Macaca mulatta: one gene and its partners. The protein of the gene in region 5 binds, or shares a complex with, the protein of the main gene of each other region. Links are inferred from orthologs where the notes say so. Each region holds a gene or a part of one and is shown on either strand. Other genes may lie near its edges. The genes, in order: NRROS, LRRC32, TGFBR2, ITGB8, TGFB1, TGFBR1 and ITGB6.

Region 1 (4,109 bases), on a different chromosome or scaffold from region 5:
AAGGCTGTGAGGACTGGGCTGCCTGGGCTGAAATGTACCGTAAAGTGTGACAGCCGTACAGGAGAGAAACTGCTGGGACAAAGGATAAGAGTTGAGTTTGGCCGGGCGCGGTGGCTCACGCCTGTAATCCCAGCACTTTGGGAGGCCGAGGCGGGCGGATCACAAGGTCAGGAGATCGAGACCACGGTGAAACCCCGTCTCTACTAAAAATACAAAAAATTAGCCGGGCGCGGTTGTGGGCGCCTGTAGTCCCAGCTACTCGGGAGGCTGAGGCAGGAGAATGGCGTGAACCCGGGAGGCGGAGCTTGCAGTGAGCCGAGATCGCGCCACTGCACTCCAGCCTGGGCGACAGAGCGAGACTCCGTCTCAAAAAAAAAAAAAAAAAAGAGTTGAGTTTGGGGCCAGGCACAGTGGCTTATGCCTGTAATCCCAGGACTCCGTGAGACTGAGGTGGGCGGATCACCCGAGGTCAGGAGTTTGAGACCAGCCTGACCAACATGGTGAAACCCCATCTCGACCAAAAATACAAAAATTAGCTGGGCGTGGTGGTGGATGCCTGTAATTCCAGCTACTTGGGAGGCTGAGGCAGGAGAATCACTTGAACCTGGGAGGCAGAGGTTGCAGTGAGCTGAAATTGCACCACTGCTCTAGCCTAGGTGACAGAGTGAAACTCTGTCAAAAAAAAGAGAGAGTTGAGTTTGGGATACATCATGTTGTGACTCTGGGACATACAGTAGTTGATTGACCAGTAGAGAGTTAAAAAAGCAAGTCTGGATCTTCTGGATCTTCTCTTGTGGGAGAGAATGTTGGAGCTAGAGATTAAAATTGGGGAGTTATCAACAGATTGGTAGACACAAAAGCCATGGAGTAGAGAATGTGCATACCGGAGAGAAAGAGGCCTGAATCAGGCACCTGGGTTTGTGACAATTTGATCTTTATTTAGCTTTTTCACTGGTGTCATTGTTATTACCATTATGAGAGAATATTTTATTTTTTTAATTATTTTTATTTTTTTAAACACATGGTCACACTGTATCGCACAGGCTGGAGCGCAATGGCGTGATCTTGGCTCACAGCAGCCTCAACCTCCCTGAGCTCAGGTGATCCTCCCACCTCAGCCTCCCAAATAGCTGGGACTACAGGTGCGTGCCACCAGGTCTGGCTAATTTTTAATTTTTTGTACGTACAGGGTCTCAGTATGTTGCCCAGGCACTCAAGAGGTCTGCCTGCCTTGGCCTCCCAAAATGCCAGGATTACAAGCCCGCGCCTCTGTGCCCGGCCATGAGTGAACATAGTAGAAAGCAGAGACAATGTGCCGGATGTTTGGAGTGAAAAGGACTTGCTCCTGTTCTCTTAGGATGGACAATGCTACACACAATCATAAATCACAGGCTACAGGAGAGGCACCCAATCCTGCAGGACACTTCAACGTTCCAGATTAGAGGGGGAACGAGAGATCAGAGCTGGAGGTCCCTTTTCTGAGCCCCTGAGTGTGGTGGTCCACGCCACTCACTGCATGCAGCAGACACTAAATATTTCACCTTCTCTAGACGACAGCATTTCCTCAAGACCAGGAGCGCTGGGATAATGCATATAAAGCTCTTAGCACAGTGTCTGGCGCCCCTTCGATGATGGTTATATTATCAATTTTCTTATTCCTTTGAATTACTGGCCAGAGCTGGCAGGGAACTTTGCACACATCAGGCACAAAAAACCCGTCCATGCAGTCTATGATCAGGAAGCTCGCGGCACTCTGACAGTCCACGACAAAGCAGTTCCCCTTCTTTCTAACACAGCGAGGGTCCGTAAAGGAGATTATCCACAAGGACTAGCTGAGTGGATAAAAAGACAGACTAGCTGAGTGGCTGACCCTTCCAGACGGCGGGCTGCCCCTCTACACCTGCGCTGCGGTTCTCAAAGTCGGCCTCAGCTTGGTCCTTGGCTGGAAGCTTGTAGAAAAGTTTCTGGGTCAGCGGACCTCACAGGCAAGGGTCCCCTAGCTGGCCACCCCAGCTAGGCACCAAGGCAGGAAAGCCGGGGGTCCCGTTAGCGTCGCTGGAAAACCATTTAAACATCCCCGCTGCTTGGCCACCAGGCCGGCAGGTGCAGGTGTCGGGCCAGCTCCCCGCAGCCCGCCCATCCCCCGCGCCCCGCGCTGCAGTTCCCTCTGCGCAGCCCGGTCTGAGTGAGCCTGTGCCGAGTCGCCCGGCAGCCCGCTCTCCATGTGACTTCAGTTTCCGTCTGTTCCTTCCGCTGGTGCTAAAATAATCTGATGCCCCACAGAAAGGAGGGAGCCCAGCCCCGCGTTCGGCTGCTCTCGAGGAGGCCGGAGCCCCGGAGAGGATGCGCCCCGCGGAGCCGCCTGCGCCTGCGGGAGCCGTGAGTATTTCCTGCGTGGGGGCGTCCCCGGGGGACTTCTCCAGGTGGGCGAGCTCGAGCGAGGTTGGGCGGTAGGAGGTCAGGTCCGTGGCCGGCAGCTCAGGGCTGAGGAGGAAGCTGTGGCTTGCTGCATCCAGGCGCCGCGCTTCTGTGCTGGGCGTGGGGGCCGCGGCTCTGGGTGGAGGTGGAAATGCCTCCCTCCAGGAGCGCTTAGAGCTGAAAAGCTGGTGCGGTGTAGTGGAAACCACCAGGGCTTCAGACTCAGACGTGGGTTTGAGTCCTGGCTCTGTAGGGAGCATGTGAGCAGACAGTGAAGGTTTCCGAGCCTCAGTTTTCTCATCTGCAAAGTGGGAACAGCCGTGCTCCCTCCCTGGACTGGGCGACTGGATATGATGGGACGGCTCTGTGCACACTCAGCATGCTGAGCGCTGGGCTCTCCTTTCCTGTCCCACAACGTGGACTGAGAACCACTGTTTCATAGATGAAGACGCTAAGGCTGGTTAACAGCTACACCTGTTCACAGATTCCGTCCACGTGCCAGGCCTGTCCAAGGCCCTGGGGATACAGCTGTGAAGATGTGCAAAGCCCCTTCCCCCACAGACGGTTTGTCCTTGGGAGATCCACTGGGGCTCTGTGACTTGGATCCTAGCCTAGCCTTAGATCCATGGCTTATCAGAGGGAAACTAAGAGGAGGGCGACTCAGACTGGGAAGCTCGTTGGTGGCCCTCGTGGCCTCTCCATGTGGGCCGGCTTCTGAAGGGGTCAGCATACTTCCCCGGGTACCCAGGAGCTAGACGGAAAGAAGTAAGGAGCCACCGGTGTGGCTTTGTGCTGCCTCTGAGACAAGGCGAACACGTGCCAGTTAGTGGCTGGGACTGGAGGGGGCCAGGTCCGGGTCCTAAGAATGGAACCTTTGGATGGGGCTGGTCGAGGCTGCTGTGCTTCCGGAGGGGCTGAGGGGACCCCACTGGAGGCTTCTTCGTGATGGGTACAGCCTGTTAGGAGTCTGGATGCTAGAAACACTCAGAGTCTGTGGAGCTGGCCCTCCGTGCTTTCCTGTGTGCTCCTTCCCTGCTGGCTGTGACACACAGACTGTTCCTGTGGATGCTGGGGGGTTGCTGGGCTTTACATACGGTGCATATTTATTCTCCTCACACACCCCTCAGGTTTGTATGTGTATGCCTGATAGTTCCTAAAGATTATAGAATCATGGGCCCAGGAAAAAACCTTAACCCCTGCCTTTAGGTTTAAAAAATAATAATAATAACTTCACAAAGAAGGAACTTTAAAAAAAAGATTATTTATTTTTAGAGACAGGCTCTTGCTCTGGGGCCCAGACTGGAGTACGGTGGCACGATCACAGATCACTGCAGGCTGAAACTCTTGGGCTCAAATGATCCTCCTGCTTCAGCCACCTGAGTAGCTAGGACAACAGGTGCACGCCGCCATGCCAGCTAACTTAAAAAATTTTTTTTGTAGAGACAGGATCTTGCTATGTTGCCCAGGCTGGTCTTGAACTCCTGGGCTCAAGCAATCCTCCTGCCTTGGCCTCCCAAAGTGCTGGGAGTGTGAGCATGAGTCACCACACCCAGCTTTCATGTAATGAGTACCTTCATGGGAACTTCATGAAAACACATGTAAACATAATCTCTCATAGTTTTAAAATTCATCATCCAAGAGATCCTGCTCTTTGATAAAGAGACATAACTTGGTAGGCTCCAAAACAGAGA
Region 2 (4,258 bases), on a different chromosome or scaffold from region 5:
CCTCATCCTTGGGGTCCCAGCTTAGATGGGCCAAGAGGTCTTCTTTGGTTCCCCAAGTCTGGGCTATGTCCTCCAGTCCTCCCAGAGCCCCCGAGCTTCCAGTGAGCACAGCACCAAGCCCTCCGTGGGTACTGTGTCCCACCCCCCTCCCATGGGAAGTGCCCCTAGAGAGGGGCTCACCGTCCTGAGATGCATCTCACAGCACACAGCAGGTCAGCAGCGGCACAGAGAACTGACACCAGGAGTATTGGTGACATGGGGTCGTTAGTGACAGCAGTTCTCTTTGGCTCTCCCTTCACCTCCCTGCCACATTCCCTTCCCCTATTTGTGCCATCAGAGGGCTCTGACTGCTCTCCCTGAAAAAGAGACCCCAGATCTTCCTACTTCCCTCTTGTCACTGCCACAGACTGAGATGCCACCCCAATACCGGCCTTAACCACAACACACTGACCCCTTATAATCTGTCCTATACCTAGCAGCCAGAGAGATAAAATCATCTGTCAGACCCTAAACCTCTACTGTTTGAAAATCTCCAAGAAAATCCAGGCCATCCACAGTCTCCTCTCTGACTCTTGTCCATTTTCCCTTCCCTCACTAAATTCCAGCTTTCTTGCTGTTCCTTCAACACAGCAAATTCATTCCTGCCTCAGGGCCTTTGCTCCTGCGGTTTCCTCTCCCTGAATGCTCTTCCTCAGCTCCTCACACATGTCATTGTTTTCCCACATGTATCATTTCCTCATCATTTATTTCTTATCATGTGGGAACAGGGGCCTACTAAGTAGGTGCTCACTAAAGACTAGTGAACAAGTGGCAAAGTCAGGGCAGAAGCTCAGCTGCAGCAGACTGAGTGGAGAGTGCCAGGTGAGGACAAGGAAGGGTCCTAGGCCCTTATTTCCCCTTCCTCTGCCAAACCCCACTCTATCCCCAAGGTGGCCCTGTGCACATCCAGAAGGGACCGTCCCTGGAGCACATGGGCACTCTGTCCTGGCATCTGACAGGAAGGGCCCCTCAGCTGTGGGCCCTCCTCAGTGGTGCCCAAGACTACTCTCTCTCAAAAAGGAGGACGGTGTCACTTAGACCCAGGCATGCATCCAAAGCCCACCACTCACCAGCTCTGCTCCCTAGGGTAAGTTCCTTCATTTCTTGGTGCCCCAGTGTCCTGTTGCAGGGCAGGCAGCTGGGTTCCAGTTCTGCCACTGGCCAACCCCAACTATTGTGATGATCCGGCAAAGAATAGCAGCAAAGGTGCCCTGCGTCCTCACTGTCCTTCCAGCTGGCACAGTGACCCTCGCAGGGCTGAGCATCCCAGGTGAGGTGTGCTCAGTGGGGAGGCCCCAAGCCTGCAGACAAGTGGCCTGGGCAAGAGGAGGCAGAAAAGTGCTAAAGAATGTGTGTGTGTGTGTGTGTGTGTGTGTGTGCGTGTGTGTGAGAGAGAGACAGACAGAGAGAGAAGAGAGCAGGGGTAAGAGAGCAGGGGTACGGGGGGCAATGACTACTATCACAATAAGCCCACCCTACATTTAAGGATGTTAGACAGTCTTTTAAGCACTTGACCTATATCACCTCATTTAATTCTCACAATCACCTATTGAGGCAATTACTGTAATTCCCATTTTACAGTTGAGAAAACAGGTTCCGAAAAGTGAAGTGACTTACCCCCAGAGTTACCCAGCTCACAAGGGCTTTGGAGCTCGGATTTATCCAGTTCTACATGACCTGAATACTGTGTTTTCTCCAGCACAAGCTGAGCCGACTCCCCCCATAGAACTGTCTTCTTTTGCCCATGAAGAAAAGGAGGCTCAGAGAGGTGACTTACCTAAAGTCACACAAGGAGCAAATAGCAGGGTCAGGATCAGAATCCAGTTCATCTACCTCCAAAGCAAATGTTTCCACTATACCGGACCAAGGTCTCCTTCCCTAAGCCCTGCCAACGACCCCTCACATGCAGGAGCAGGGCAGACTAGCTCACAGTCTGGGCTCTGAGGTCCTCTCTCCCTCCTCTCGGCCTCAGCTGACTTACTGGCAGAGTGGGGTCCTGGGAGAGCTGCTGCGGACGTTCCTGTCAAGCAGTGAATCACTAAGGGCAAGCCTCGTTCTGGAGACATGTGCATCCCACGGGGGAATTAGACCTTAACCCAAAGGAATGTGGCTGTGATGGCGGAATTTCAGGCAGCTCGGGGTGGGGGTGGGGGTCCCTCACATCTTACCAGCCATGAAGAAGGCTGGCTTCAGAGCCCCTTGCAGAGCGGTAGGTGCCTCCCACCCCACTACGAGAAATGGGCAGGCCATCTAGTGCTGTGGGATGGGCAGCCCCACGCCTGGCCGGGATCGGAACGTTGCAGGAAACGTGAATTCAAATTCCGGTCTGCCCTTGCCTAGCTGTGTGTTCCTGGGCAAGTCCGGTCTTCAGGCCTTTGTTTTCCCAGCTGTCAAATGGGAACCTCGGTCTCACTCCTTTGCGGGAAAGCTCCGCGGAGACAGGAGCCTTGGGGGCCTCCCAGGAACCGAGGGAGGGTCAGCCCCAGCCCCACGCGCGCAGTGGGGACGGCGGGAGGGGAGGGTTTGGGGGGCGTCTCGCGGGACCAGACCCCTCCCTGCGCTCGCGAGGGGCGCGCAACAGTGCGCCCCCCGAGGGCCGGCCACCTCGCCCGCCTGGCGGCTCCTACCTGGCTCAGCGCGGCCGCAGTTCCTCTCCCGGGCAGTCTCGGCACATTTTGCGCAAACCCGCCCCCGGGTCCCACCCCGCGCCAGACCCCGGGGTCACGGCCCGAGGAGGCGCAGGCCACTCAGCTGCCCCACCGGAGCCCCCGCGCTCCGGCTGCAATTTAAATACCTCTCCCGCCGGCCCGCCACGCCACGCCCCCCTCCGGCGAGGCCGCGGGGTCCTAGCGCCTGGCCCCGTGCCTCGGTTTATCCGGAGCTGGCGGAGGCGGACTGGGGCGGAGCGGCGAAGCATCTTCATCACCCTGGGACCTCGGCCGGGAAGGGGCGGGGACCCAGAGGGGTGAGATGAGAGGGCGGGAGGGAGAGGGGTCGCAGAGGAAGCGCCGTGGGAGCTAGGCCCGTCCCGGTGGCCGCCGCACGTGCAGTTCGCGGCCCCGCGGGGTCCGGAGGGGGGCGCGGTGGCTCTAAGAGCCGCAGGTCCACAGAGGAAATCCGGCCTGGCCCCGATTTCCCAGCTGCTGGCGCCGCCGCACTTAACGCGGGGGCAAACAGGCGAGGTGACGGCGGGGCTGAATGCGGAAGGAAATGACCCTTCTCTGGCCCTGGGGCGGCCGCGGAGGGGGTTCCCCGCACCAAGCCGCCCGCTCTGGTGGGTCCTGGCAGGTCACTTTTCCTCTCCGAACTGTGCTTTAGCGTCTAGACCCGTACTCCTCCATCATCTGCGGGGCCCTTCAACAGCCTGTGAAATAGCACCATCAAAGTCCTCAGCTTTCGGACGGAGAAACTGAGGCTAGGGCGGGGGCAGTGTGTACACATGAAAACCAATTGTCTGAGACTAGTAAGGTCCCTATTTATAGTTGGGGAAACTGAGGCTCAGAAAGGTTAAGTGGCATGTCTAAAGTCACACAGCTTGTAAGAATCAGGGATTTGAGCCCACTCTGTCCATAAAGCCAAGTCTGCTTCAGTTTGGGCATTATCTTGGCCGATTTTTTAAAGTATTGTGCAAATATAGGGTGGCGGTATTGTCGTTTAGATCGGAGGTTGAAGCAGATCTTCCCCAAAGCCACCCCTCTTCTAGATGCCTTGTCCCCACCAAATCACAGGTACCCTGCTCTGCTGCCTGTGGGCTCCAGGATGCGGGTCCCTAGAGGAGAGGGGCCCTGGCTGTCCTCCAGGTCCTGGTTCTGGGGGTGGAAGTGTTTCTCTTCCCTGATGGTCTTCCACAGTGTTTCTCTTCCCTGATGGTCACCAGCCCTAGAGTGGGGTAGGGTGCCCCATTTTACAGGCATGAAAGTGACCACCCAGGGCCTTCTGGCAAATCAGGGTAAGGCTGGGCTCAGAAGTGGGATTTCCTGAAGTCCCTACAGTTACTGTCTTTTCTTCTGCCTGTTCAGTCTACTGTGGAGATGGATCTGAGCAGATGGGGTCAACCCAGAGAGGACAAGCTGTGACAGCAGGTGCCCCAGGGGCCTGACCTAGCCTTAGAGGAGGAAATCAGGGAAAGCTTCCCTAAGGAGGAGGCCTGAGCTGCACTGAGGGGATGGGCAGGAGGTGCAGGTAAGGAATCTCTCAGCAGGGCCTGGGAAAGGTATCC
Region 3 (2,930 bases), on a different chromosome or scaffold from region 5:
AAGGCTAAGGCTAAGTTGTAGGTTTCCCTAAGGGCAAGGCAAATTCAGATAAGAAACAGAAACAACAAATCAGGCACAATCGGGAAGACAAATGGAGCAGGAAGCCTGGTCTGTGCCAGTCCTGGCGCAGAGCCACTTCAGCAGACAGACCTTAATAAAGTCCTTCATAAAGGAGGGGGCGGGGGTGAACCAGGCTGTGGTGGGTCACGGGCTTCGCTGGAGTTTTGGGCAAATCCTCTTTGACACTAAAACTGTAAGAATGTTTTGCATAAATTCTGAAATCAGAATGTACTGGAGTGTTATGTTTCTTTCAAACTCTGTTGCCTCCTCTGCTGTATAGTTCTCGTAATGAAGCCATTATTCATGATGATAAAATTCTGAAAAGAATTTGCATAATACATTTTTTCTCATAATGAGATTTGTTGCCCTATTGATTTCAAGTTAATGCTTAATATTTAATTTAATTTACTGCCTGTAATTACAGTGCCAGAATAAAATAAATGTTATTTGTGTACCAACAATAGTACTCTACTCTTAACAGGGCCATCTGTCAATGCTGTCAATTAGGCGAATTATGCAATTAATTTAACATCATGAACTCATGGTGTCAGGAGGGAAAGAGAGAGGTTCCTAGGTGTGTTTGGAAAGTTGTTCGTATTAGAAAGCAAGTAGAGAAAGTGCCAGCTCTCCCAGGTAGGTTGGAGATGTATCCATCCCACTCCCAGCCACCTGTGTGGTGGTTCCCCATTAGCAATGTTGATCTTATAATTGGGAGGAGCACGCTCTATTTCCACGTATCAGACCATTTGCTTAACTCCTGCCTGCTTTATTTCCAAAAAGGATTTGAAATGATACCAAAAATACTTGCAATGCGAAATAAAAATTAAGCCAGTGAGAGAAAACTCTTGCCACCTTCCTGGGCCGGATCTTCTGGATGGGCTCCTTGGATGGGGCCTTGGTTCAGTTAGGGTGAACCCTGTGAAATGGCAGAGTTAAGCATGCCTGACCCTCAAAGGCAGCTGTTTCACAGGGTCCAACCTTATGTTGTTGGAGAGGAATGGGGCATCCCAGAGGTCATCCTTGGCAGCTCGTAGAAGCTGCTACTGAATCACTCTACCAAATGTGTGGCCTGTGGAAAATGAAACCACGCTAATGCCTGCATACAACTCTGACTGGGGTAATCAGCCCTGTTAAAATAGAACAGTGTATATATGACCCAGCTATATGACACTCCGGAAAAGGCAAAAACTACAGAGACAGTAAAAGATCAGTGGCTGCCAGAAATGTAGGGGAATGGAGGGAGGGACGAGTAAGTGGAATGCAGGCGATTTGAGGGGCAGAGAAACTATTCTGCATGATACTATAATGGTCGATACCTGTCTTTATACATTTGTCAAAACCCATAGAATATACAACACCGAGAGTGAACCCTAATGTAAACTATGCATTTGATTGATAATGATGTGTCAGTGTTAGTTCATCAGTTCGAACAAATGTAGCACACAGACGGATGATACCGAGGTGGAGAAGGCTGTGCCTGTATGGGGAAGGGGTTTTGTGAAAACTCTCTGTACTTTCCACTCAATTTTGCTGTGAACCAAGAACTTCTCTAAATAGAAAGGCGTTAAAATGGTATTAGGGGCCACTGCATGGGGAATTTTCAGGTGTTGGGAGTGTTAGTGTACCCCAGAAGCCCAGCAGAGGATCATTGTGCTGTCAGGACCTATTGTGATCAGATAGCACCAGAGCCAAAAAAGTATGGTAGGTTTCGAGCACAGCCGCCCCCAGCACAATCTCCACTTTCCACATGGAACTGGCTGGCCCCCAGCGGCGGGCACTCAGTCAGCGCATGTTAAATGCACAGGTACTTTTGAACCCTGCTTGCACTCACTATAGCAACAGGTCAGCAAGCCACTTTGCCTTCCGCGGAGCCCACCAACTAATGGTGCCCTTTGGATCTCTTTCCCACTACAGGGCATCCAGATGGTGTGTGAGACGTTGACTGAGTGCTGGGACCACGACCCAGAGGCCCGCCTCACAGCCCAGTGTGTGGCAGAACGCTTCAGTGAGCTGGAGCACCTGGACAGGCTCTCGGGGAGGAGCTGCTCCGAGGAGAAGATTCCTGAAGACGGCTCCCTAAACACTACCAAATAGCTCTTCTGGGGCAGGCTGGGCCATGTCCAAAGAGGCTGCCCCTCTCACCAAAGAACAGAGGCAGCAGGAAGCTGCCGCTGAACTGATGCTTCCTGGAAAACCAAGGGGGTCACTCCCCTCCCTGTAAGCTGTGGGGATAAGCAGAAACAACAGCAGCAGGGAGTAGGTGACATCGAGCATTCTATGCCTTTGACGTTGTCATAGGATAAGCTGTGTTAGCACTTCCTCAGGAAATGAGATTAATTTTTACAATAGCCAATAACATTTGCACTTTATTAATGCCTGTATATAAATATGAATAGCTATGTTATATATATATATATATATATATATATATCTATATATGTCTATATCTCTCTATATATAGCCATACCTTGAAAAGAGACAAGGAAAAAGATCAAGTATTCCCAGGAAATTGGTTTTATTGGAGAGCTCCAGAACCAAGTAGAGAAGGAAGGGACCCATGACAGCATTAGCATTTGACAATCAGACATGCAGTGGTTCTCCGACTGTGTAACAGGGAACTTTGCATGAGGCAAGAGGCTGCACGTCTCACAGCCAGCTATGACCACATTGCAGTTGCTTTTGCAAAATAATCATTCCCTGCCTAGCAGTTCTCTTCTGGCCATGGAACTAAGTACAGTGGCACTGTTTGGGAACCAGTGTTCCCGGGGTTCCTGTGTGCCCTTGTTTCTCCTGGACTTTTCATTTAAGCTGCAAGCAGCACATCTGCGGGGGCTAGTTTAGAAATTTCCCTCAACCTAGTTTAGAAACTC
Region 4 (3,500 bases), on a different chromosome or scaffold from region 5:
TTTTTCTAGATAAATCGTTGCCAACAGAATTTAATTTTTCTATATTATTGTGCATTGATGCTGAGACATCAACCAGATAATAAAGATCCACAGGATATTTCTTCAGAGGATGAATTTTCAGCATAAAATTAGCTTCAGCTCCTAGTTCGACAGAAGAAAAACATCATGTAGTCTTCATTTTAAACTTTTCAGGATAAGCTATCAATAAATTAGTCACATTCTAGCACCTAGCACAATCATCACAAATGTGCACATGAATTTTGGAATATTCTAGTATAATTATAATCATTATAGTATAATTATTATTGTAGTATAATTATAAGGCAATTTGAAAACCATACCAATTTATTAGTCCCAAATCCTACAGTTCATTTCCCACAATTCTATAGGCTGAATAGGGATAATAACAAATAGGCTAGCTCCGTATAAATGTAACAGGGTATCGTATCATTATATGAACCTCCATTGCCTTAGTAGCTAGAAAAACACAGTGCAAACCAGTAAGCGGCATTCTATCTCAAGAGAGTGAGGGGGCTGTACTTGTGGAATGACTTGAGGAAAACTGGGAAGGCATTTTTTTTTTAAATGAACTCTTATTGGATAAAGGCATGAATTCATTCTTTTGGGTTAAAGTGTATTTACACAGGAGATGAGAAAACTCTAGTACTGTGTAGTACAGCAAGTTGTTCAAAATAATTAGTAGCTCGTCACTAGTTAGTTGATATGATTCTTCCCATCAGTTAGCCAAGAGAAAGAATGAGACAGTGGGCTAAAGAATGGTGCCCTGCAGTGCCACATGGAGGACCTGGGGCAGGTAAGGATCAGCATTTGTCCAACACACAGTGGGTGTTCACATGCTGAGGAGGGGCCCCATGAGTGAGGCACCCACTGTGGACAGAACAACTGGATGAGAAGAGGGGGCTGCCACAAGGACAAATGTTGGTAGTCCCCACAGGGTACTACAATTTTATTTAGTTTTCTGTCATATTACTATTAGATACAAGGACCTGGGTTATCCCCCCTAACCCTCTATAGAGTTGGTACCTCTACTTTTAATTTAAAGTATATAGTGAAAAGGCATCTATTGAAATGTAAGCAATTCATAATTTGTAAATTTTACTTTTTGAAACTATTAAGCAAATGCTTTGTAAGTCATTATTTTTCCATAAGAATATTCTGAATGGAAGACATTTTTAAAATAAACATCTTTTGTATACATAATTTACTTATTTAAAGAACCTTCTAATTTATCAAATTATATTTTTGGTGTTAGTATAAAATAGCAATATTTTCTTTTCAATTATTTCACAAATCAGATGTTTTTCAGCCAAATTACCTACTGTATTCAAAATAATAAGGTTTTGCTGGTATATAATAATAATAATGGGAGAAAGGGACTACTCCTTCCCAATTTGCTTTTTTTGTGCAGGCAACCCCTTTGGTGTAATGCTCCTAGGTTTTGGCTCATATTTGAAAGGAGAAATAGGGCAGGCGTGGCCCAGCCCAGTCCATTCTCTCATCCCTTGCCTTCAGAAGTTAGGCTGCCTCCAGAGAGCATATCCTATATTCTGCTCTGCTTTTGGGCTTCTGTTGACAGAAAGACCCGTTCCTGTGGCAGTGTTCTGCAATTTGAGTGGAGAAATTAAATTCAGGGGAATGTTAAACACTGGTACACTGGACCAGATCGAAGAGAAGTAGAAATTCAGCACTACTGGGAGAGCGACTCATGTGCAGGGACTTGAACCTTGATGTGTGGATCAGTGTATTTTGTTTTTCACTCAGACCCAAAGTATCGACTCTCTCTAGGTGAACTGCTGTTGATGAAAAGTACTGTCATCTTTGTAGATTTAAAAAAGATTGTTTTTGTAAACTGGCCACATGGTATCATGGTATTTTTATGTTGGTGAATCGTTGCAGTTTACGGTGGCTCTGTCTAAAGATGAATGGCTGTTTTCAGAGGTATTGCTAGATGTAATAGATGGTCAGCATATTGTGCCAGGGACCCAGCAAAGGTATGGGTCGGTGACCTCAGCAAACAACCAGAGCCTGTGTAGCATCAGCAAAGGCACAGTCCTTGGAGGTAAGCTATTCAGGGCCTTCCAACCAAATGCTAGCCACACGAAGGCGCTCAGCTGAAACCAGCTGCTCATAGCCTAGCAAGCAAATTCTGGTCTCACTGGCCTCAGCAAAGAAGAAGACTGTGAGAAAGCACTGCCAAATGGTTGGGGTGTGAGGGTGTTGGCTGCTGTGCCTTGATTTTGGATTCCATAGATTCTGGCCTTAGCACGTATACCGGGGTCAGCTGAGGCCTCAGCAGAGAAGTTTCTAATAAAGAGGAAAAGAGAATATTTCCATACACAGGCCTTTTAGTAATTGCTGGCAAGAAAAATAATCAATACTTTTACACTGCAAGACCCCTGAGCTTGTTGTGAGAGTCTAGCTTTAAGTAGTCAATTCAAGGTAAATAGACCTAGATAGGCTGACCCCAAATCGTGCTCTGTTTGATAAGGAGGAAACCAAAGGGGTCAAGCTGGGATTACCATGTCATGCCCATCAGTTTGAGATGTTCCTCATAATATGCTCTCAAGTTGGCTTTGGATTGTATAATTATAAATAAAGGAGAAAACTCTTGGGAGCAGCTGTCCTAGGCATCAGTATTCCACAGTAAGAGGACACAGAAATACCTTTGTGTGGCACTATGGATATTATGTCCCTAGTTAACGCCCCCACTTAACCTTTGTACGTGATCTCATCGTAGAGCCACTTATAAACTATTTTGGACAAGATGCCTGGGCATAATTTTGGAGGAGAAATGGAATAGGGTATAAAACAGGGGCTTAGAGTGACCCTGGAAATGATTTAATTAATGAAGTGCTATGACCCATGTCAGGGTTTCCAGGAAAATCTCCACTTCCCATCAGTGGTTTCAGAATTATTACCAAAGGAACTCTAGTTGGCATGGGGACGTGGCTATATGAAAAGGACAACAGAAATGTCCAGATAGACCGTGGATCTCTGCCCTGACAGGGACAGCACCCTCAGTTTCATCACATGCCTACTGGCAATATCCATTGGTTTTAAACAAACAGCCTGGGAATTTCAGGGAGGGGAGGGAAGGGAAGGGGAATGATTGCTCCTCACTTTTCCTCCTTCCTCCCAAGTAGGACAAGCCCGACTACAATAACCCCCTCCCACATTCACTCCTCCTCAAGCATAATATATGATTTTCAAAGCCATTTTACCTAAAGAATTTTATTAATTTTGCAGAAGCCCTGTTGAATATATTTCTATTAATACTTTACAACTATCTGGGCTATTCCAACTATCAGGAATTATTAAACAGTTATATGCAACTGGATTTGTTATATAAAAATTAAACTTAACCTGGCATGTGCGCTCCAGATATTTTTAGTTGTAAGGTACCATGGGTTAATATTTATATTGAATATTAATAGATGATATGTCAGTGTTCCTTTTTAATTTCACATTAACTTAATTAT
Region 5 (4,042 bases):
GGGCACTGGGGAGCTATGGAAGGATCCTTAGCAGGGGAGTAACATGGATTTGGAAAGATCTCTGGCAGTTGTGTGGGGATAGATGAGAAGATGGGAGTCTAGAAAGGAGGCTGGGTTGGAAACCCTGGGACAGAAACCCAGAAAGGAAAGGACTGGGCCTGGGGTCTCCGGTGAGTATCAGGGAGGGGGGAATCAGGAGCAGGAGTCTGGTCACCACCCATCCCTCCTTTCCCCTCTCCCTGCTTTCCTGCAGGCTGGCCCCGGCTCCATTTCCAGGTGTGGTCCCAGGACAGCTTTGGCCGCTGCCAGCTTGCAGGCTATGGATTTTGCCATGTGCCCAGCAGCCCGGGCACACACCAGCTGGCCTGCCCCACCTGGCGGCCCCTGGGCAGTTGGCGAGAGCAGCTGGCACGGGCTTTCGTGGGTGGTGGGCCACAGCTGCTGCATGGGGACACCATCTACAGTGGGGCCGACCGCTATCGCCTGCACACAGCTGCTGGTGGCACCGTGCACCTGGAGATCAGCCTGCTGCTCCGCAACTTCGACCGCTATGGCGTTGAGTGCTGAGGGACCCTGTCTCCAACGCCACCACCATCCACACCCTGGACACCCAGTGAGGCACAGTGGTCAGGAGCACGGACTCTGGAGACCATCAGAGCTGGACCCCAGCTAAGGACTCCTGTCCTTGCTAGGACCTCTGGGTCCCTCTGGGCCCAGTTTCCCTACCTGTAAATTGGGGAGAGTAAATGTATGGGGTCGCAGGATGTTGGATGACAAGAGGCTGCTTAGCCACATGGGAGGTGCTCAGTAAAGGAGAGCAATTCTTACCGGTGTCTGCCTCCTGACCCTTCCATCCCTCAGGTGTCCTGTTGCCCCCTCCTCCCACTGACACCCTCCGGATGCCCCCATCTTGACAGACCCTCTTCCCCTACCCTGTGTGCCAGCCTCACACTGTCCTCCCGTTCTGGGTCCCCCTCCTCTGGTCGGCTCCCCTGTGTCTCATCCCGCGGATTAAGCCTTCGCCTGGTCCTCTTTTTCTGGTGACCCACACCGCCCGCAAAGCCACAGCGCATCTGGATCACCTGCTTTGGTGGCTCTTGGCCGCCAGGAGGCAGCACCCTGTTTGCGGGGCGGAGCCGGGGTGCCCGCCCCTTTCCCCCAGGGCTGAAGGGACCCCCCTCAGAGCCCGCCCACGCGAGATGAGGACTGTGGCCCAGCCCCCCCATGCCCTCCCCCTGGGGGCCGCCCGCGCTCCCGCCCCGTGCGCTTCCTGGGTGGGGCTGGGGCGGCTTCAAAACCCCCCGCCGACCCAGCCGGTCCCCGCCGCCGCCGCCCTTCGCGCCCTGGGCCATCTCCCTCCCACCTCCCTCCGCGGATCAGCCAGACTGCGAGGGCCCCGGCCGGGGGCAGGGGGGACGCCCCGTCCGGGGCACCCCCCCGGCTCTGAGCCGCCCGCGGGGCCGGCCTCGGCCCGGAGCGGAGGAAGGAGTCGCCGAGGAGCAGCCTGAGGCCCCAGAGTCTGAGACGAGCCGCCGCCGCCCCCGCCACTGCGGGGAGGAGGGGGAGGAGGAGCGGGAGGAGGGACGAGCTGGTCGGGAGAAGAGGAAAAAAACTTTTGAGACTTTTCCGTTGCCGCTGGGAGCCGGAGGCGCGGGGACCTCTTGGCGCGACGCTGCCCCGCGAGGAGGCAGGACTTGGGGACCCCAGACCGCCTCCCTTTGCCGCCGGGGACGCTTGCTCCCTCCCTGCCCCCTACACGGCGTCCCTCAGGCGCCCCCATTCCGGACCAGCCCTCGGGAGTCGCCGACCCGGCCTCCCGCAAATACTTTTCCCCAGACCTCGGGCGCACCCCCTGCACGCCGCCTTCATCCCCGGCCTGTCTCCTGAGCCCCCGCGCATCCTAGACCTTTTCTCCTCCAGGAGACGGATCTCTCTCCGACCTGCCACAGATCCCCTATTCAAGACCACCCACCTTCTGGTACCAGATCTCGCCCATCTAGGTTATTTCCGTGGGATACTGAGACACCCCCGGTCCAAGCCTCCCCTCCACCACTGCGCCCTTCTCCCTGAGGACCTCAACTTTCCCTCGAGGCCCTCCTACCTTTTCCCGGGAGACCCCCAGCCCCTGCAGGGGCGGGGCCTCCCCACCACGCTAGCCCTGTTCGCCCTCTCGGCAGTGCCGGGGGGCGCCGCCTCCCCCATGCCGCCCTCCGGGCTGCGGCTGCTGCCGCTGCTGCTACCGCTGCTGTGGCTACTGGTGCTGACGCCTGGCCGGCCGGCCGCGGGACTATCCACCTGCAAGACTATCGACATGGAGCTGGTGAAGCGGAAGCGCATCGAGGCCATCCGTGGCCAGATCCTGTCCAAGCTGCGGCTCGCCAGCCCCCCGAGCCAGGGGGAGGTGCCGCCCGGCCCGCTGCCCGAGGCCGTGCTCGCCCTGTACAACAGCACCCGCGACCGGGTGGCCGGGGAGAGTGCGGAGCCGGAACCCGAACCGGAGGCCGACTACTACGCCAAGGAGGTCACCCGCGTGCTAATGGTGGAAACCCACAACGGTGAGCTCGGAGGGGCAGGGGAGCCGGGAGGGGGGCCCCCAGGGGGCGCCGGAGTGCCGGGGCCCCGGGTAGGAAGTGACTGGCAGAGGAAACTGGCTGGAGGAAGAGGACCCCCCGGGGCAAAGGGAACGTGGGATGGTGGGAGGGGGGTGTCCGAAAGAGGATGGCACTGAGTCCCCTACCCCCCAGGTATCTGGTCTTGGAGAGGAGGAGATAGCGAAGTGGACCGCTTCTAGAGGGCGACAGAAACATGCGGGGTCGTGGGGGTAGTGCCCTAGAGGGATAGAAGCAATAGGGGGACGGTAGAAGGCTCCCTCCTCCAGGACGCGTTGAATTGGGGAGGGGGTCGTGGGGTAGGAGAGGGGGGAGAGGGGAGCCCGGTGTGGGAGAAGCGAAGACCTCAGCATTTGGGAAAGGAGAGGCACTGGGGCAAGTTGACCCAGAGCTTGGGGGTCCTGAGGTGGAAAGATTCAAGGACAGAAAAGCTGGATGAAGGCAACCCTAGGGGGTGCGAGAAAAGTGAGAGCGGACCCATTTCCAGAGGCTGCGAGGAACACGCGGGATGCGGGGGTGGGGGAGAGTCGTAGAAAGAGAAACAGAGGTGGGTGTGATAAATGTGGGGAGAAAGGGACGGGAGGTTATTGGAAGGAGGAGGCAAGCGGGAGAGGAGCGGAGACCCAGGAGTGTGCCCGGGATGCAGAAGTGTCCTCGGTGTTTCACACGGGGATGTGAGGGACAGAGTGGGGAGCCCAGAGGAGGAATTGAGCTTCCAGAAGACCTAGAATCCTGGGTCATGGGAAGAGCTTTACCGAGAGGGGAGACAAGCGTGGGAAAGGTGGTGTGAGCGGGGCGGAGGAGAGATACCCAGCGCCATCCACGCCGCGAGCACTGAGCGCCCCCCGCCCGTCCCGCCACTCGCCGCAGGATGCAGGGGAATGGGCTGAGCGGAGTCCAGCCGCAGGGGAAGTGCTGGGTGGGGAGTGACTCTACGAGACCGAGGTGAGAAAACCAAGCTGGGAGGAGTGAGAAAGCCCCACGTGGGTGCCACGCGCGGGGGGAGGAGCCTGCGCTTCCACCAAGGGGCAGGAGGACCCCGCTGCGCTAAATGCTGGCAGTCTGGACCCCAAAGCCCCAGTTCCTCTCGAGGTGGCTGGGGAAACCCCAGCGTCCGGCCGCCTCACTCTCCTCCCTTCCCTTTCCTTCCCATGCCCCCGGCGGGGGCGGGGATCGCGCGCGGAGCCCGGGGCGAGACGGGGCAGGTCTGGTCCCCGCCCTCCTGGCTGCGGCGCCTCCCGCCCTCCTCACCCCAGCTACGGGCGGGGCTCCCACTGAGCCGGCCCCGTCCATCCATGCGAGGACCCAGGCGTCCTGCGTGGTTCAGAGCTTTGGGAAAGATCCCTTAGGTTTCACTGACTTTTGGGCGGTGTGGGCTTGCCGGTCGCCGGCCCATTCTTGCGCCAGTTTACGGCTCCAGCCCAATGACGCGC
Region 6 (3,952 bases), on a different chromosome or scaffold from region 5:
CACACTCCCATAACAGGGGCAAAACTAAACGTGTAGTGAAAAGGCTGAACAGTCAGGAGTCAGTGAGAAAGAGAAATTGTTTGAAGGTCTGCAGTCATGGGAAATGAGATCCCTGGTAAGATACTCAGAGATGGCCCCAATCATAAGCTGCTCAAGTGTGGTTCTAAGTGCTGAATACAAATGGGAAATCTTATAAACCTTCATGGGGATGGCTGAGGAAGATTAGTTTGGCAGTAGCCCATAGAAAAGCCTAGATGAGAGAAACATGGGAAAGCAACTAGATTTGGAGGATAACAGGCAGGATTAAGCTGAAGGCTGCATACCAAGAAAGGAGGAGACATTCAAGAGGCATTCATAGAAAGAAGAGTTGGATTGGGGGCATGTTTTCAAACAAAAAAAGTTATGAAATGGCAGAAAGGAAGCAAACAGCATTCTCAGATGGGATATAAATATAGACATAGTGGTACTAAACTGTGTACTAGGGACAAGGAATCCATTTCCCTAGAGAAATCTATGTTGGAGAGAGAAGTTGGGCAGACAACAATAAAACATACTCAGAACATAAAAAAGTGCAAGTCTTTAAAAGAGAAGCCAAATTACTGAGGGGGAAAAAAAAGCATTTGACCTTTTTCAGAATGTCTTTTAAGGGTGGACTGAGGCATCATCATAACCAACAAGGAAGGCAGACAAGCTGAGGCAGTCTGGGCTTACAGTAATAAGCACCTGGACAGCTTTGTATTGTGTGCACGCCAAGGAGACTGTAAACTTCTCCAGGACATGGACTGAGCAATGTTCTGTATATTCAACTAAGTCCACTACTGTTACTTGAATACATGAACACTTCTTATGCTACTTCTGGTGGAAAAGAATGCACTGTGCTATTCAAGTTAATAGTGGTGTGGAAATGTTACCTGTGTTTCATGCCTAACTATACTGATTCTCCCAAATGTCCACACAGTTATCTTGCCTTCCTCCCTAGGCCAATATCAAAAATCCATTGTTTCCTCTAATGCAGGAGGCCCACGTGAAGGGACTCAGGAATGTGCTAAGAGTCGGAATGAAGCCTATCTGATATTCAAATCATGAGGACAGAATCTAAAGTGAATAATAAAGACCAATTGCTCAGCAGACGACTGAAGAAGAAAAATGGGCTACGCCAGATAGTATGATGTATATATATTAATATATAAGATATACAGGTTTTGAAAACTGAGATCTGAGTGAAAATCCTAGCTTTAGCACTTAGTTATTGGGTACTTAATGTGTCTGCACCCCACTTTTCACATCTGTAAAGTGGGGCAAATGCCACTACTCCTGAAAGTTTAGTTGTGGTGATTAAATAACGTACTTATACAATTGTGTACTTTATGCATTTACATCGCAGTAATGCATAATACATAGACGGTAGCTATTACGACTAATTATAATCGTCAGTCTTGATTTTTTTAAAAAAAAATTCAACATCTTGTGTCCAGTTTCAGAAACAGAAATGTACTTTCACTGCATTTTAGTCGCTAACACTGAGGCTCTCTGTATTTTAGCTTCTAGTGCCTCAGTTCAGCTGCTAACAAAGTTTTTCACTCATCCCTTCGAGGATGCCAACCACCTACCCCAACCTGATTTAATATTTTGAAAAATTCAGCGAACATTCTTCCTTGAAAACCAGCTACACAGATGTCTGATTCAAACTATTAACTGTCACTCAAGAACAGGAATATCGCGAGTGATGGTCTTTCGAGGAAATAAAAAGCGTTTAATCAATTCACAGTCATTCCCAAAATTTCCAAACCCCGCAGAACGAGCAAACGTTCAAGTTTCCACTACGAAAACAATCCGTAGCCTTCTGGTTACTGGACTCACTTCAACACTCCCCAGACGCACGAAAGAAGAAACATTCCGCGCATCTCCGCGCTTCCTTCTTCTCACACAAAGCCCCCCTGGCTGGAAGAGCAGCCCCTTCCAGCAGGGTCGGGTCGGGTCGGGTCGAGCCGGGCGGGAGTTACGGCGGCCTGTGGACCCGGGGGGTCTCACCACACTTCGCCCCCGACTCCCACTGGCCGAAGCCCTAGCGGCTCGGAGCTCACACCCCGCCCAGCAGCCGCCTTCCACCCCAACCTCAAACCCCGCCCCGGGCCCGGCAGCCTTGGGCACGGACCCTCTTGGGGCGGGGGTCCCCGGAACAAGGTCACGCCGTGCCGAGGGGGCGGCGGCGGGCAGCCACCGCTCTGCCAGTCCCCGCCGGCCTCACACTCTCCGCCCCTGACCCTCGCCCACTCACACCCCAGAGGGCAGCCCCGGACCTCGGACGACTCCGCCCGACTCCACCTCCCCGGGGAGTCCCGAGCGGGGCGGCCTCGGGCAGCAGGACACGTCCGCCCGCGCCCGGACACACGCCCCTGCCCCGCCTCCGCTCCCCGCTTGCGGTTCGCACGGCGGCCGCCGAGCCCCGCGAGGCCACGAGAGCCCGGCCGGGCCCCGGCGCAGCCACCTGCGCCCCCGGCCCCGCGCCATGTTTGAGAAAGAGCAGGAGCGAGCCAGAGGCCGGGCCCGGCCCGCGCGCCCCGCAGTCGCCCGCCCGCCGTGCCGCCGCTCACCCGTCGCCCCCGGGAGCAGCGCCGCCGCCGCCGCCGCCGTCGCCGCCAGCACGAGGAGGAGCAGCCGGGGACGCGGAGCAGCGGCCGCCGCCTCCATGGTCCCGCCGCCACCGCTTGTGGCCCGGCCCGGCCCGGCCGCCGCCTCACCCCAGCAAGCCTCGCCTCGCCCCACCTCCCCCGCCGCCGCGGCGGCCTCGCTCCGGCCCTTTGTAACTGCTCGGGGGACGCGCGTCCATTGGCTGCCGGGCTCCCGCCGGCCCCGCCTCCCCGCCGCCGCGAGCGGCCGAGCGGGACCCAGCCGGGAGCCCCGCCTGCGGGACCGCCGGGCAGCCAATCCACAGCCGCGGGTGCCGGTTTCTGGCCACGCCCCATGCTCCCCGGGGGCCGGGCCGCCAGACCGCGGCCCCGGCCGGATCCGCTGTTGGCTCCCGGCTTCCAGCTCCCAGAGGCCGCGTGGGGGCGGGATCTGCCAGCCAGAGCACCGCTGAGCCGCTAGTCCCGGAGGGCCGGGTAGAGCGATGGGTGTGTCTGTGTGAGTCTCTTTCGGAAAAAGGCTGTGGCCGCTCGAGGCTCTTTTCTTCTAACCTCCTCTAGGCGCGGAAGATCTGGTACTGCCTCAGCCCCACCCTGACCCCATTCACAGCCCCGCACCGGCAATCCCAGCACATGCCACTCCGATCCGCTGCAGCGCCAGGCCCCAGCATCCACTTCAACTTCCCCTCTCCAAGTCCACGCATCAACTTCAGCTTTCCCCCGAAGATCCCTCTTCAGTGCCCTTCACATGCGACTCACTCTCCTATTTCCTCCTGCGCCCAGCGGTCACCCCAAACCTAGCTCCCCCACCCAATTCCAAACCTAGAAAGTCCTCAGATCCCAGCCTCAGACCCAGATCCTGAGCCGAAACACACCTCCAAATAGCCTCCCGCCTCCCTCCAGCACAGACCCAGGATGGGGATCCAAACCGCTCTCCTCTCATCCCCATTCCCGATCCAGGTTGGAAAGGGAGGGTCCCCACCCCAAACCCTCAAAGGAGAGGTTCCCCCTTCTTAGCACCCAGCCCCCGTGGGGCGGAGGGGGAGCAGTCATCATTACTTTGAGCTGTGTCTGACACTCCTGTATAATAATCCTGAGGTGTCACTAAAAACCCAAATAAACTCTACGTTTTCATTCTGAATTCCTAATTTACTGCGAGACGCTCCACCCACCTTCCCTCTGCGACGCCAAAATGAGCTCCAGATTTGTAATTCTTCCTGTCAGACTAGTCCTTTCTTCAGACACAAACACAGCCAAGTAGGCTGTTACGTAGAACAGAGAATATTTTTCCGCAGAACCTTTTAAGGAGGAAGTTTTATTTTCTG
Region 7 (4,023 bases), on a different chromosome or scaffold from region 5:
GTCAGTTCTTGAATTTCAAATGGAAGTGTCTCCTCACAGCTGAGTTATTTAAAGAGCAAAAGACCAAACATGCACCTCAATTACAGGAAATTAAAAGCCCCGTGAAAGCTCACAAAATCATCAAAAGTTATAAATGAAAGGTAGCTTATAAATCTTCTATTACCCACCACACAACACATACACACATTTTTATAGATGAGGATACAGCCCAGAAAGGTTAGATATTTTTCCAAGATCACACAGTGAGTAAATGGTAGAGCCAGGATTCAAACCCAGGACTCTTGGCTCTCTCTGTTTTTCTTGCCTCAATGCTCCACAAATACCAAAGGGCTTGCAAGCTGCAAACCTGAACCAGTACTGTTTATCAGACATTTGGGAAGAATTGTAACATGATGGAAAGAGCTTTCAAGTCAGACTGGAGTTTAAATCCCGACTTGGTCACTTACTTGTATGGCCTTGGATAAGTCAACCTCCGGGTCATTTATAAAGCAAACATCGTGACTCCTATCCGCAGTGTGGTGGTGAGAATCAAATAAAATAATGTACACTAAGTGCCAAGCAGGGGGCCTGGCACACCATGGGAACTTGAGGAGTATCTATTATTACTATCACATTACTTCCTTGGAGGCATACCCAAAGTCCTGAACTTTCAGTCTTAGCCTGGAAAAGAGAGTATGGGTCCAAATTCTTCATCCTTCTCGACAAAGCCTGTGTGGATGTTTCTGTTCACGGCTGTGCTGCGCCAAAATAAATCTAATTCAATCTGGACCATTAAATGCTTGGCACCATGTTTTACGCTAATCTCATCAGTTGTTATTTTCAGTTTCTAGTTTACCCAAACAATCCATTTTTAGAGTTAGTGACCAAAGCTGCCAATAAAATAGACTTATCTCGAAAACACCAGGATCCTCCTGAAGGAATGTCAATACACACATGTAGCATACGGCAATGCTTTATAAGAGTTTGACCACTGGCCTGCAGTTGGCCAGCTCAACTGTAAACTCAGTACTATTTTGGGGTATTAATATCTATAAGTGCTTAATATCCCAGCCACACTGCCATCCACTAGGTTTGAATGTCCTTTATGGAGTGAACTTGATCCTCCCGTTTCACTTTTGGTCTCTCTCCAGAGAAGCTAATGTACTGGCATAGTTCTGCCATTTGTCAGCCAGAAGTCTGGTTACACATTTGCTCGTCAATCTAAACCTAACCTATTCTCATATGAGCACTTGGGGTTTCATGTAAATCAACCAGACGTTCTGTCATTCACCAGCAATATCTCTCCATAGTATTCTACACCCATGTGCCTTCATGAAATATTTCATTATGCCGGTGGAAGAAATATTCAAATGAATGTGCTTTTTCAGGGATGGTGACACCAGAATGTTTTAAATCTGTTCATTACCACAACAAGGATAAATGGCGTTTCTGCCAAAGACTTTTGATAACGGGTGCAGTAATGCATGCCAGCACTTTCTGAAATTAAAGGTTCTACCCTGAGAGGTAAGTAGGATAATGCATGGCTAACAAATGCAAACCCAAATTTCAGAACTGAGTGTTTCTTGTCAGTGTCACCGATCGCTTCCAACAGACGCTGCCTTAGGGAGTTTGTAATGTCATTTCTGCTCTCCTGACATGAACGTCCAGGTGAGCCTACCCCAACGTTTGTAAAAGAGCGGATCCTTATTAACTTAGCATGCTTTACTGTGATTTTTCTTACATTTGGACTCACACATGTTTTTAACAGCTGCATTTTAAAAATCTGCTATGGTTTAAGAACAGTATTTCATAAAAGCCTTAGTTCATTATTCAGTAAAATATTTTAATAACCAGTTGAACAGTCTCTCGTTAAGATTTTAAGATATTTGTTTCTGATTGTACTAATTAATTGTTAAAGTTTTTTTAAAAAAAAATCAGTGATGAGACTCGTCTTCACTAACTTTTTGGCATCTTCAAGAGGCACAAAGGAAATGAGGAACTGGAAATTTAAAACAGGAAAATAAATATCAGTTCATATTTGCATTGACATATGCATGACATCGGACCAGTTAACTTCAGTACCTCTGGATTGTAAAATGGTGTTTTAGTGTAGAACTAATACATGAGAATTATGGAGAAAATGGAGAGAAAAGGGCTTCCAATTCAGGTTATCTATGAAGAGCATATTTTATTCTTACAAGTGTCTGAAAATACCTGGTATCATTACTATTCACCATGAGAACTTTCGGAAGTATGACCACTAGCACTGTAAAGAACAAAATCCAATATCTGTGGATTTTGTACATTATTCATCCAAATAATGTACCCTCTAAAATTAAAAAAAATCACAGGTAGAGCTATATTGTATTGGCTCGTAAAATACCTAAAATGGACAGAATCTGATCAGAGAGTAATAGTTTTCTTCTCCTATTTTTTTAGATTCTGAACAGGCTCAGAAAGAAAGTTTTTTAATACAGGGTTTTGAATATAAAGTCATTTGGTCATAATACAAGTATTGGTGTCTGCCTAAGGAAAATTTTGTGCCTCAGTGATATGCAAAAACGCCTTCCTCTTTAGAGTTCTCCTTTCTTCATTCCCCATTCATTCCCATTGTAATCTTTTTCCTCTATCTGACTTGCTCCCTCTAGTGTTCCCTGGATGAAGTACAATAGCTAAAGCTCAATTTACAAACACACAAAATCCTATTACTGCAATCTCTCAATGTTTTCCCCAGTTACCATACACTAAAGCAAACTTAGCACCAGATGTTTTGGCCTTGTGAGTTGTAGGTGACAGCAAGAATTTTTAATCAGAGAATGGAATATTGTATTCCACTTAGTGGAATATTGTATTCCAACTTCAGATCCTCAAAGGGGGCATTTATTTCTAATCTGATTGTTAGGGTTAGGTTCCTTCTCTGCCTTTGAATTCTTGTATTGGAATTTACTTTTATTGTGATATGCAGAAGGGGAAAAGATACTCTAATGAACTAAAGCATGCAAGCAGTCATTTCTTTGACATATTTCCCAGGAGTAGAACTTACACTGATCTTCTAAATTACCTAAGAGATTCAAGGCATTTTGACTCAAGAAAAAAGCGATCAATTCTTTAATGGTTTTACAAAAACCATAGGCATATTCTCAGCCACAGAATCTCTTAGTCAAACCAGGAGGAACAACCACTTGGGAGGTGTATTTCTTATGGGCACTTTTTCTTTACAGAGAATAAACACTCCCAAAGCTGTCAGCTGCCATTGCTGCTACTTTGGAAATCAGCCACACCCAAGATGTAGTTATAAGAGCTAACTACAGGCCAAGGTCATCTGGGGATCCATCCAGCCTACTCACAGGCATGGCACCCCAACCTGGTCACAGTGCATGGGCCTGTCAATCCAGGCAGGCCAGCCCAGATTGCTATTTTAGGTTGGAGTTCCCGAAAGAAGGCCCTTGACTGTCCTTCACGCTACTGGCATTCAGCTTTGTACTTAGCCATTCTGAACCATTATCTACTCTATGCCCTAACTGTTTCTCTCCTTTGCAATATCCCACCTCTTTGGGGAGCCCCATAGGAGGTTGATAGATATGTCAAATTGTAATATTAAAATGATTATTTTGTTTAATAACACAAAGTTCACCCATACATACAGCTCTGCTACATCAGGTTACGTCTACCAAGTGCCTGAGCAGGAAACCTCAGGCTTGTTTATCCTCCTCCTTCACTTGGATCTGCCGTTCATCCTTTCCTCTTTCATGTCCACTGGCATTATAGTTCATCCACATTTGCCTAGACTGCTACACTAACTTTCCAAGCACTCTCCCTCCCTCCAATTCACCAACATACTACCGTTGGTTATCTTTCAAAACAACAAATCAGAATGCATTTCTCTTCTGTTTAAAATTTTTCACTGGTTCCCTATCATATATAAGATAAATTTTGAATCCCCTACCATCTTAGTCTGTTTTGTGCTTCTATAACAGAATACCACAGACTGAGTTATTTGTAATGAACAGAAACTTGTCAGCTTACAGTTCTGGAGGCTGGGAA

What was found.
Region 1: the proteins of TGFB1 (region 5) and NRROS are in contact, whole or in part, in a cryo-EM structure (PDB 7Y1R), measured with the Homo sapiens proteins. The link is inferred for Macaca mulatta from reciprocal best matches to the Homo sapiens genes TGFB1 and NRROS. Residues at the interface, in NP_000651.3 of Homo sapiens: Leu30, Ser31, Thr32, Cys33, Thr35; in NP_940967.1 of Homo sapiens: Phe194, Glu195, Ile196, Glu197, Gly198, Gly199, Phe201, Leu210, Leu212, Pro218, Cys219, Ile220, Val221, Asp222, Phe223, Gly224, Leu225.
Region 2: the proteins of TGFB1 (region 5) and LRRC32 are in contact, whole or in part, in a cryo-EM structure (PDB 8VSC), measured with the Homo sapiens proteins. The link is inferred for Macaca mulatta from reciprocal best matches to the Homo sapiens genes TGFB1 and LRRC32. Residues at the interface, in NP_000651.3 of Homo sapiens: Leu30, Ser31, Thr32, Cys33, Lys34, Pro325, Pro327, Tyr328, Ile329, Trp330, Ser331, Leu332, Thr334, Gln335, Tyr336, Val339, Leu342, His346, Ala353, Pro354; in NP_001122394.1 of Homo sapiens: Ser135, Tyr137, Glu158, Ser160, Thr162, Val184, Met186, Asp187, Ile188, Glu189, Asp190, Phe193, Leu202, Leu204, Arg206, Asn207, Ser208, Leu209, Thr210, Cys211, Ile212, Ser213, Asp214, Phe215, Ser216, Leu217, Leu223, Leu225, Cys227, Ser229.
Region 3: the proteins of TGFB1 (region 5) and TGFBR2 are in contact, whole or in part, in a cryo-EM structure (PDB 9FKP), measured with the Homo sapiens proteins. The link is inferred for Macaca mulatta from reciprocal best matches to the Homo sapiens genes TGFB1 and TGFBR2. Residues at the interface, in NP_000651.3 of Homo sapiens: Arg303, Lys309, Trp310, His312, Tyr368, Tyr369, Val370, Gly371, Arg372, Lys373; in NP_003233.4 of Homo sapiens: Phe47, Leu50, Phe53, Asp55, Ser72, Ile73, Thr74, Ser75, Ile76, Cys77, Glu78, Val100, Asp141, Glu142.
Region 4: the proteins of TGFB1 (region 5) and ITGB8 are in contact, whole or in part, in a cryo-EM structure (PDB 7Y1T), measured with the Homo sapiens proteins. The link is inferred for Macaca mulatta from reciprocal best matches to the Homo sapiens genes TGFB1 and ITGB8. Residues at the interface, in NP_000651.3 of Homo sapiens: His117, Thr241, Arg243, Arg244, Gly245, Asp246, Leu247, Thr249, Ile250, His251, Gly252, Met253; in NP_002205.1 of Homo sapiens: Ser156, Ala157, Ser158, His160, Asn161, Asp213, Tyr214, Asn215, Leu216, Gly248, Asn249, Ile250, Asp251, Thr252, Glu254, Gln286.
Region 6: the proteins of TGFB1 (region 5) and TGFBR1 are in contact, whole or in part, in a crystal structure (PDB 3KFD), measured with the Homo sapiens proteins. The link is inferred for Macaca mulatta from reciprocal best matches to the Homo sapiens genes TGFB1 and TGFBR1. Residues at the interface, in NP_000651.3 of Homo sapiens: Ala279, Leu280, Asp281, Asn283, Tyr284, Tyr328, Ile329, Trp330, Gln335, Lys338; in NP_004603.1 of Homo sapiens: His39, Leu40, Thr42, Lys43, Phe55, Asn68, Met70, Ile78, Phe84, Val85.
Region 7: the proteins of TGFB1 (region 5) and ITGB6 are in contact, whole or in part, in a crystal structure (PDB 5FFO), measured with the Homo sapiens proteins. The link is inferred for Macaca mulatta from reciprocal best matches to the Homo sapiens genes TGFB1 and ITGB6. Residues at the interface, in NP_000651.3 of Homo sapiens: Pro70, Gly71, Pro72, Glu75, Leu158, Asn237, Gly245, Asp246, Leu247, Thr249, Ile250, His251, Met253, Asn254; in NP_000879.2 of Homo sapiens: Ser142, Ala143, Ser144, Asp146, Asp147, Pro196, Cys197, Ser199, Ile200, Pro201, Tyr202, Lys228, Lys231, Ile232, Ser233, Ala234, Asn235, Ile236, Asp237, Thr238, Glu240.

Annotation. Positions count from the first base shown.
Region 1 is NC_133407.1:2,177,193-2,181,301, forward strand, and holds the start of NRROS (transforming growth factor beta activator LRRC33), read left to right. Parts: upstream 1-1,309; 5' UTR 1,310-2,272; coding exon 2,273-2,379; coding exon of another isoform or gene 2,380-2,423; intron 2,424-4,109. UniProt on the Homo sapiens protein: Key regulator of transforming growth factor beta-1 (TGFB1) specifically required for microglia function in the nervous system.
Region 2 is NC_133419.1:77,073,862-77,078,119, forward strand, and holds the start of LRRC32 (transforming growth factor beta activator LRRC32), read right to left. Parts: upstream 2,801-4,258; 5' UTR 2,667-2,800; exon of another isoform or gene 1,657-2,666; intron 1,356-1,656; exon of another isoform or gene 1,110-1,355; intron 1-1,109.
Region 3 is NC_133407.1:17,856,648-17,859,577, reverse strand, and holds the end of TGFBR2 (TGF-beta receptor type-2 precursor), read left to right. Parts: intron 1-1,974; coding exon 1,975-2,154; 3' UTR 2,155-2,430; downstream 2,431-2,930. UniProt on the Homo sapiens protein: Transmembrane serine/threonine kinase forming with the TGF-beta type I serine/threonine kinase receptor, TGFBR1, the non-promiscuous receptor for the TGF-beta cytokines TGFB1, TGFB2 and TGFB3.
Region 4 is NC_133408.1:107,917,188-107,920,687, forward strand, and holds part of ITGB8 (integrin beta-8 precursor), read right to left. Parts: intron 1,846-3,500; exon of another isoform or gene 1,775-1,845; intron 142-1,774; coding exon 1-141. UniProt on the Homo sapiens protein: Integrin alpha-V:beta-8 (ITGAV:ITGB8) is a receptor for fibronectin. It recognizes the sequence R-G-D in its ligands.
Region 5 is NC_133424.1:52,496,821-52,500,862, reverse strand, and holds the start of TGFB1 (transforming growth factor beta-1 proprotein), read left to right. Parts: upstream 1-1,242; 5' UTR 1,243-2,200; coding exon 2,201-2,555; intron 2,556-4,042. Other genes in the region: B9D2 (B9 domain-containing protein 2), read left to right, coding at 254-567. UniProt on the Homo sapiens protein: Transforming growth factor beta-1 proprotein: Precursor of the Latency-associated peptide (LAP) and Transforming growth factor beta-1 (TGF-beta-1) chains, which constitute the regulatory and active subunit of TGF-beta-1, respectively.
Region 6 is NC_133420.1:59,300,419-59,304,370, forward strand, and holds the start of TGFBR1 (TGF-beta receptor type-1), read right to left. Parts: upstream 2,801-3,952; 5' UTR 2,692-2,800; coding exon 2,595-2,691; intron 1-2,594. UniProt on the Homo sapiens protein: Transmembrane serine/threonine kinase forming with the TGF-beta type II serine/threonine kinase receptor, TGFBR2, the non-promiscuous receptor for the TGF-beta cytokines TGFB1, TGFB2 and TGFB3.
Region 7 is NC_133417.1:65,076,294-65,080,316, reverse strand, and holds the start of ITGB6 (integrin beta-6), read left to right. Parts: upstream 1-1,223; 5' UTR 1,224-1,503; intron 1,504-4,023. UniProt on the Homo sapiens protein: Integrin alpha-V:beta-6 (ITGAV:ITGB6) is a receptor for fibronectin and cytotactin. It recognizes the sequence R-G-D in its ligands. Internalization of integrin alpha-V/beta-6 via clathrin-mediated endocytosis promotes carcinoma cell invasion.